Cricetulus griseus: one gene and its partner. The protein of the gene in region 2 binds, or shares a complex with, the protein of the main gene of each other region. Links are inferred from orthologs where the notes say so. Each region holds a gene or a part of one and is shown on either strand. Other genes may lie near its edges.

What was found.
Region 1: Ints1 (region 2) and Ints6 share a complex: the UniProt entries of both Homo sapiens proteins name them as parts of the integrator complex. The link is inferred for Cricetulus griseus from reciprocal best matches to the Homo sapiens genes INTS1 and INTS6.

What each region holds. Positions count from the first base shown.
Region 1 is NW_023276807.1:217,770,871-217,775,466, forward strand, and holds the start of Ints6 (integrator complex subunit 6), read right to left. Parts: upstream 2,866-4,596; 5' UTR 2,375-2,865; coding exon 2,264-2,374; intron 1,914-2,263; coding exon 1,836-1,913; intron 1,039-1,835; coding exon 889-1,038; intron 1-888. UniProt on the Homo sapiens protein: Component of the integrator complex, a multiprotein complex that terminates RNA polymerase II (Pol II) transcription in the promoter-proximal region of genes.
Region 2 is NC_048597.1:76,395,588-76,399,394, forward strand, and holds part of Ints1 (integrator complex subunit 1), read right to left. Parts: intron 3,748-3,807; coding exon 3,614-3,747; intron 3,525-3,613; coding exon 3,332-3,524; intron 2,506-3,331; coding exon 2,378-2,505; intron 2,049-2,377; coding exon 1,936-2,048; intron 797-1,935; coding exon 683-796; intron 276-682; coding exon 205-275; intron 15-204; coding exon 1-14. UniProt on the Homo sapiens protein: Component of the integrator complex, a multiprotein complex that terminates RNA polymerase II (Pol II) transcription in the promoter-proximal region of genes.

The DNA of each region.
Region 1 (4,596 bases), on a different chromosome or scaffold from region 2:
CATGAGAACTGTGCATTATGGAACTTGGGAAGAGTATATAACATATATTCCTAAATATAGTATTATGGTAATAGTGCTTTGCATACTGAATTTCTTGGGTGTGATACTACTGGTGTGCAGCAATACATATTCTTTGTTATCTTTTATTTCTAGGATAGCATATCATAAATGGATCATCTCACATTTCCTTGGTAAATGACTGCTGTGACTTAAAGCTCTTGCCTCATCCTCACAAATGAGAGGAACTTTGAGGAGCTTCAGAAAGACAGGCAAGTTTTCATGTTTCCCAGAAAACATTTTCCCAAGGGTTTTGAAATTTTAAACTTTAAAAATTCTCAATCTGTCATTACTTTCAGACTTCCTACTATAGTAACTTCTAATAGTATAGGCCTCAAGAGACATCTGAATGTCAACCAATGACTGCACTACTGACAAATCTCACCTTTGCAAGTATACAATCTAGGTTAAGCTAAACCCTCATCTAACAGTCATGTCTTCCAATGTCTTTACTAATATAGAAGAAACTGCAGTCAACGGGACAGCTGTGACCCACTGCAGTAGTTACATATGTACCTACACGTGGCATAGTTTCAGAGTGGTGTATTCACAGGGTATCTTCCCCTTGATGTCTTTTATGAACTTTGAGGGACTGAAACCAAATTCATGTCAACTTTATAGCCAAGAATTTAGATTCGAAGTCTACAGGGAAATACACTTAAAGGGGAAAATGAGGGAACTCATACACCTTAGGTGTTTTGAACTGTGTGCACACTAAATTTCAACCTTGTTATGTTTTATACTTGCATTTCATGTTGCATACTTTTGGACTGGATTGTGTTTTTGTACACATAAATAAAAACAACTTTTCTACCTTAGTATTCAACCTACCTGCCCATAGTTGTCTATGCCAGTTACTAATCTATTTAAATTTAACAAATCAAAAGCTGTCCTTAGGGATTGGCCAAGAGTCGTAAGTCCTTCTGCCTGAAGGTTTTTCAGTTCATTCATAAACGTTGCATGATTTTCTTTCCATCCAGCCTGAAAAGAAAGATGTAAGAATTTTTTTTATCATTTGAAGCCACAGCACACATGGACACCGATTATAATGTGATGTCCACCAAGCAGGCATTCCACTTCGGGTTTGTATAGTTAACTTCACTTTTGATTGATATGGCTTGGGTCACATGTTATAACTGTTGTCTCTGGGTGAGGAAATCTCTTCCAAAGGTGGCCAAGAATGAACCTGCTTGCCCTACACAGTCTTAATACTTTAATAACTTCACTGGGAAATTCGCTAACATAACATCCTCCAAATTGTGTGTAAGGGGTGGGTGTTGCGAAGGTACTAGTGGAAGGCAGATGGCAGCAGGACTTCTTAAGTTGACCACAGCTGTCCCACCAATCGGTGGCCTTCCTAGTTCCACTCTGTGATGACCAAGTCTCGAAGCCCCCCTCCTGGCTTCCCTGCCAGCTTGGCTGATTCCCTTTTAATGCAAACCCTGGCTAGGCAAGGCTGGGCCCGGCTGTCACTCGGGCTAACTTGAATAAATATCCCCCACAGTTCATTGCTGCCGCTCACGCCGCGGAGGGGAAATGTCGGCCATGTTGATCGTAGCGCCTCCACCGCCAGGCCGAGCCAGACCCGGAGGGGACGGCGGTGGGCCAGAAACTGCCACCGCGCCGGCGCTCCCGAGCTGGGGAGGGGTGGGAGGCCACAGGGGAAGGGACCTGGAGGCGGGAGCCGCGGTGGGGGAGGGGAGCATAATGAAGAGGGGGGCGGGGAGGGCGAGCTAGGAAGGAGCAGGGAAGGGAGGGGGGAGGGCGAGGGCTGTTACCTTGATAGCATAGGGCGGCTCTTCGAAAGTGACCAGCATATACCTGTCTCCTCTGCTGGCAGGGTCCCGGGCACGGAGCTGCGGGCCAGGGTGGGGACGGGAGGGAGAGAAGGAAGCACAGAGGCGAGGTTACCAGTCGCAGAAGGGTCGCTGGCCGCCCCCACAGTACCGTACACACAGGGCCACCACTCCGCCGACCCCCGCACCCACAGTAGCCCCACATGGGCCAGGCCCAGCGGAGCCCGCTCCCAGCTCCCAGCGCCCGCCCGCTCGCCCGCTCGCCCGCCCGCTCGCCCCGCCCGCCCGCACGCCCGCGCGGTGGGAGGGGTCCCCGCGCCCGAGGCGCCCGCAGTAGCCCCGCCGCCCCCCGCCCTGCCCCCCGCGGGCCACCGGGTCGGGGTCGCCGCCGGGGCTCGGTCAGTCGGTACCTTCATGAAGGTCTCTACCGCGCCTTTGGCCGTGTCCAGGTAGGTGGTGCCCAGATGGCTGCGCTGGTTCATAGAGGCAGACGTGTCTATCAGGAACAGTAAGATGGGCATAGTGCTGGCCGGGGACACCGGGGCCCGAGGTGGTGAAGAGATGGCAGAGGTGGAAGCACCGGCGGCGGCGGCGGCGGCGGCAACCGCCGCTACGCGGGGCGGGGAACGCGGCCCCCGGGAGGAAAACACCGGCTGCGGGGAGTTTCTCCCCCGATAGTTGAGAGGAAACTCCCCAGCCCAGGTCCTCCCGGTCGTACCCCTGCCTCCGGCCTGCCTGCCTGCCTGCTGGGGCGGCCGCACGGACGCCTGTCCGTCCGTCCCCCCCGCCTGGGGGTCCCGTCCCCACTCCCGGCCCCTGTGTGTGTCCCCGCGGGAGACGGGCCCAGTTCCCCACCCCACCCCCAGTGCAGGGAGTGGGGACCAGGGATCTGGCGAAGAGGGGACTGGGCTGAGGGGAGATTGGCCCTGGGGCTGTTGGGAGAAGTTTCAGGGACTCCCTCCGCACCCCAGCGGTGTCACCACTTTCTCAGCCCCTCTCGCTACTGAAGCGCTTTTCTCTCTCACTCTCCGGTTTTAACTCGGGCAGGGGCTACGTAGGCTCCGCCCCTGACACGTACTCGTGTCACGTGATGCGCAGGCCCGCAGTTCTACTGGCTGGTCCTTAGAGCCTTATTAGCATATTCAAACAGCTCAGGGGCGGGGGAAGCTTGTAGGCAGACTCAGAGGACAGTTATTGAGCACGCGCGGAGGCGGGGCACCGGGTGCGCGCTAGAGCCAGCGCGAGGGGCGGCCGCAGGTCCCGCAGCCGGGAGGCGGGCTCCGGGAAGGGGCGGGGACACGCCGCGGAAGCGCGGCGGATGGGGGCGGGGACTGGGTCGGCCCGCGCAGGGCGGCAGCGGCTGTGGGCGTGCGTGTCAGGGCGGCCGGCCTTTGGGCTGTGCTCGGTGACAGGGTCGGGAGAGGGGAAGTGGAAGCCGCCCTCAGCCTGTGGGCGAGGGCTCTGCGTCGCGATTGAGAGTGCAGGGCTGAGGAGAGCCAACTGGCCGGGGCTAGGGAACCGCGCAGGCCCTCGCGGCCGTTGCAGGCCGGGCCCCGGGACGGCCCAGGGGGGAGGGGAAGTGAAAGGTTGTTTATGACCTGGTGCTAATCCCCGCCAGTCATTCGGCTCCGGCTGCAGCGAGTCAGAGCACCCACAGAAAGGGAAGCCAGTCCTGGAGTGCCTCCCCCAACCCTGCAAACACGAAGGGGAACTCAAGTATGGACCAGGAAAACAGCGGTCCTCCCCAACCAAGTTCCCCTCTTCCACTCGTGTTTGGGCACTAGAGTATATTAAGAAAAAAAGGAGCTTGCCAGATTCTAATCCACTGCCCTCGTTTTAAAATGGAAAGGATGACCACGTTGCGCAGGTGACCCAGAGAATAGATTTCCCGGAAACCCGCCTTTCAGTCCCTGCCAGTATTGTGTCAGAAAAATTCTCTGCCCATGTCACATTACCTGAAGCCTTCAATCTGCGCCTGCAAGACGTATGAATTGTTCTCAAGTGTAGTTGGAAAACTGCAGGACGCTGCCTGATACACAAGTTGAATTTGGGACATAGAGGCCTGGTTAGACTGTAGGTATTTATAGGGCCTTTCCCACCGGTCCTGCATTTCCGGATTTTCTCTATGCTGAAATTCTGGCCTGCTGGGCAACTGAAGTGGCATGTTTGTGACACTTTTTTTTTTTTTTTAATCTGCCCTTGTTGTTTGGGCTTTTCCTAATATTTCAGAGGGAAAAAAAGAACTCGGAAAGTTTTTAATTTATTAAAAACAAATTATAGCATACTGTTTTGTGGGAATGAACCATAGTAGAGGCATGAGTTTTTTGTTTGTTTTGTTTTGTATTTTGAGACAGGGTGTCTCTGTGTAGCTTTGGAGCCTCTCCTGTCACTCGCTGTGGAGAACAGGCTGACCTCTAACTCACAGAGATCCGCCTGCCTCTAATTCTCCAATGCTGGGATTAAAAGTGTGGTGTGCACCACCAACGCCCGGCGAGGCATGAGATTATTAGAGATTAAGACTATAAAAAAAAAATGATGAACTAACAGCCAGTATCTGCTGCAGACTAGGGCTAGTGGGAATTAATATATGAAAAAATGAGGGCCGGGACTTCAAAGAGTTTGTGGTAGTCTAAGAAAATATAAAGACACTGAAAGCCAGAAAATGATTCTGGAAGAAAAAGAAACCTGTTAAATCGTGGGTGATAGTAGTTTCCAAGGTTTGTGTTTAGTACTTCAAGGATTG
Region 2 (3,807 bases):
CGCTGCAAGTTGGTCTGCTCGGGTGGGAGAGGAGTGTCACCAGGCAACCATGGAGGCTCAGCCTAATGGCAACTGTTCCCAAGGTGCACCGGGGCAATGGGATAGCCTGCTTGGCTTCCTGCTTCAGGTTGGGGCAGTGCCCAGCTCACATGTCGCAGGATGAGTGCCACCCTCTAGATCACAGGTTCTCCCAGCCTTACTCACCGAGAAGAAGCCCAGGACCTCAGGTCTCCGCCGTGACATCTCATCTATGTCGCTCAGAGTCTCGAGCACATCTGAGGACAATGGGCCGGGTTGGGAAGTCTAGGAGGACCTAGGGGGACCCTCCTTTCTATCCTAAGCTACCCAGAAACAGGAAGGGCCAGTTCCCAGGTATCCCAGTCCTCCAGAGGCTCCCCAAGATGCACAGGGCACTGTGGTTGCCCTGACAGTATACCCTCCCCTTCCCTTTGACTTCACACTGGTCTCCAGGGAGAACTTGACAAGTGGCTCACCTTATGATCAGGATACTTGGAGCAGTCCCCTCTACCCAATCCCTGGTTCTCCTCTGAAAACTGACAGTCCTATCAGCCACCCTGCTGGGTCTTCCTTAAGCACCTCATTGCTTTTGGGGGTTCATTGTGCTATCTGAGCAAACAGCACAGTGCATCCAGGGTGGTCTAGGAGCAGCTGGCTCACTCACCCTCAACAGCCTGGCCCCGGGAAAGCCTCTTCATATGTGGAGCCACGTCAGCTACAGTCAGTGGAGTGGAGAGGGAGACACTGACCAGGGGTAGGGAGCCGGCTGATCGCTCATCTGTGAAAGGTTAGTCAGGGTCAGGCAATGGCTGAACACAAAGCTCAGCCAGACCTGCAGTCTCCATGGAAAGACTATGCCCACCCTGTTCTCTTGTTTAAGTTTAAAAATACAAAAAGGGCGCAAGATGAGATGTGAGAATGAGAGATACGTTAACCATAGTGTTGTTATTTTGCTTAAATTAGAAGTCGAGAGATGGAACATGAACCGTGGAGGATACATTAAACATAAAGTTTATTACCAGGCGAGACAGCGAGAGGGGGAGAGAGAAAAATGGAAGAACAGAGCAGGGCAGAGAGTAAGAGAGCAGAATTAGTGGTCAACCACCAGAAACAGAGAGAGAGAGAGAGGATGAATGAAGTCTCAGGCTTAAAAGGGGGAGCTTGAGCATGTGCACTGAGTCCCTACGAAGCCCCGTAATGAGTGATGGCCATGATGTGGCCATACAACACAAAGCCCTTTAAGCTGCCTAGGTATCTGCCTGAACCTTTCACACCCCAGAGGCACACTGGCCACTATCCAGGATGCAACACTGTGATTGGTCCATGTGGTGGTTACGGGGTTGGGGGGGGCGGTGTCATGTGGAAGGTGGCATTCAGGATGCTGGGCTACCCTGGGAGACACAGCTATGTTTTCCTTATACCTACAGACAGTCTAGGAGAGCATTCTCTTGCTTCTGCCCTCAAGGTGCCATTCCACATGGAAGACTGGTGTCTGGACATAGTGTGTCCTCTATGAAATACCTTTTGTGTGCTTTCAGAAAGGCCGGCCAGTCAATCTAACCAACACAGGCAGCAGGGCCTAGACACAATCACCGAGCCTCCAGGCATCCTTGGCTGAGTCATCACTCACCTGCTAGTGACCATGTCAGCAAAGGACAGAGCCCTGACTGTGGGGCATGTGCCACCATCAAGCAAGCAAGGCAAAAGACCCTAACCTAAGGACCAGCCTGCCCAGGAAGCATCTAGGTTAACATCTGACATGGGAGCAGAACCCAACATTATTCCCACAGGATGGCTCTGTTCAGTTTGTCATGGCACCGCCCATGCACATGCATGAGACAGGTGAAGTTTCAGGGCTCAGCCAGACCCACCAGAACCCTTCCTGCTCTCCACCCAAGAGCCCACCTGTCCCCTCACCTTCCCCTTCCTCATCCAGGCCTTGGTCAGTTCTCCCGTCCCGGCTGGGCAGGCTGAGCCCCGCCAGTAAAGACTTCAGCATCACCAGGTCACTGTTGTCAAAGGACAGGTCACTGTGGAGAGAGCATGGGTTCACTTTAGAGCAGTGGTTCTCCACTACCCCTTTGGCAAACCTCTGTCTCTAAAAATATTTACATTATGATTCACAACAGTAGCAAAATTACAGGGTTGAGAGCCACTGCCCTGGAGGAGGGCAGGCAGGGAAGAGTGGCAGGTAATCATCTGGGGCGAGGTCAGTGGAAAATAGGTGGGGGGGAGGGAGAGTGAGGAGGAGCAAGTGGGGATGAGGGCTACAGTTCCAACCAGGACAGTCACATCTGAATTGTCCTTCCTGGCTCAAGTGTGGAGCCACCAGAGAGCCACAGCAAGCGTGGGAACTCACTGGAGCGGCTCCGCGTGCTTCTGCAGGAAGGTCACGGCTGCTGGTGCACTGCAGGCCACGTACTTGTGGATGAACTGCACAAACTTGCTGATAAAAGGGGCCAGGTGGCGGGAGGACTTTCGGTAGTTCTGTAGAAAAGGCAGAGCCACCAGAGGCTTCCTCAGAACCTCTACTTGACAAGTGACCCCCACGACAGCCCCGGTCCCAAAGTCAGGCTGACTGAGGCTTGGCACTTTGGGCTTTAGATTTTATTGTATGAGTGTTTTGTCTGAATATATGTCTGTGTACCACATGAGTGTCCGGTACGGAGTTCGGAAGAGGACGACAGATCCCCTGGAGCTGGAGTTTCAAATGGTTGTGAGCTATCATGTAAGTGCTGGGAACCAAACCCAGGTCCTCTGCAAGAGCAGCCACTGCTCTAATCACTTAATCACTGAGTCCAAGCTCCAGCCTCTGGGCTTTTCCCCCTTCCTTTTCTTTCTTGCTTTCCTTCTTTCTTTCTTTTTGAGATGGTCTAACCTATATATAGTCAGTCTCACAATATTATAATCAAGGCCAGTCTAGAACTTGCAATCCTCCTGCCTCAGCCACCCATGTGCTATTTGCAGTTATGTCCTGCTTCTATAGCTCACTAGCCTGACTTCTGTCTCTGTAATATCACAACAAAGATGTACAGACTAGGGCATGTGATGCCAACAAACAGCACACAAAGGGGATTAGCACTAGGGGTCTAGGATATGGGGTTCCCCAGGCAGGGGATGCTGGGGCTTAGGGCTCAGTACAGGGTTGGTCTCCAGACAGCAGAGACAGAAGCCACTAGAGGGATGGCTTGGCTTTGGCCCTCGCTCCAGGTTCTCCAGTGGGAGCAGAAGGAAGTCAAGCAAAGACAGGAGGGGGCATGGCAGGATATCTGGGCTGAGGAATGTGAGGACAACCAACTGGCCTGGCACCCACCAGGAGCAGGCGGATAAAAGAGCGCAGGCAGTCCCACAGCGCCCCCTGGTGCTCGCTCTGGAAGACACGCGGCTGCAGCAGCTCCAAGATGCCCAGCACATGCAGGAAGAAGGCCAGGTGGTTCTGCTGCCGGAACTCCTGAAAGTTCAGGTGTGTGCGGCCGTGCAGGAGGGCTGCAATCATAGGCAAGTGCCTGGGGGCCAACAGAAAGGTACCCCTGGTCACCTCTTCCCACAAGAAGCCCCAACCCCACAGTGTGCCCACTGCTGTGAGAGTAAGCACCTCAGTAGCAGGATGGGGTGGGCCACAGCCAGCTTCCGACAGGCCATGTTGGCATCAGCCACTCTGCTCTCAGAAGACCGGGAGTCACTGGTGTCTGCCAGGAGCGTGATGAAGCGATGGATGAGCCCATCCAGCTGGGGGTGGGGGAAAGACATGAGGGAGAATACTTGTCTATGCACGGTTTGAATTGTCCC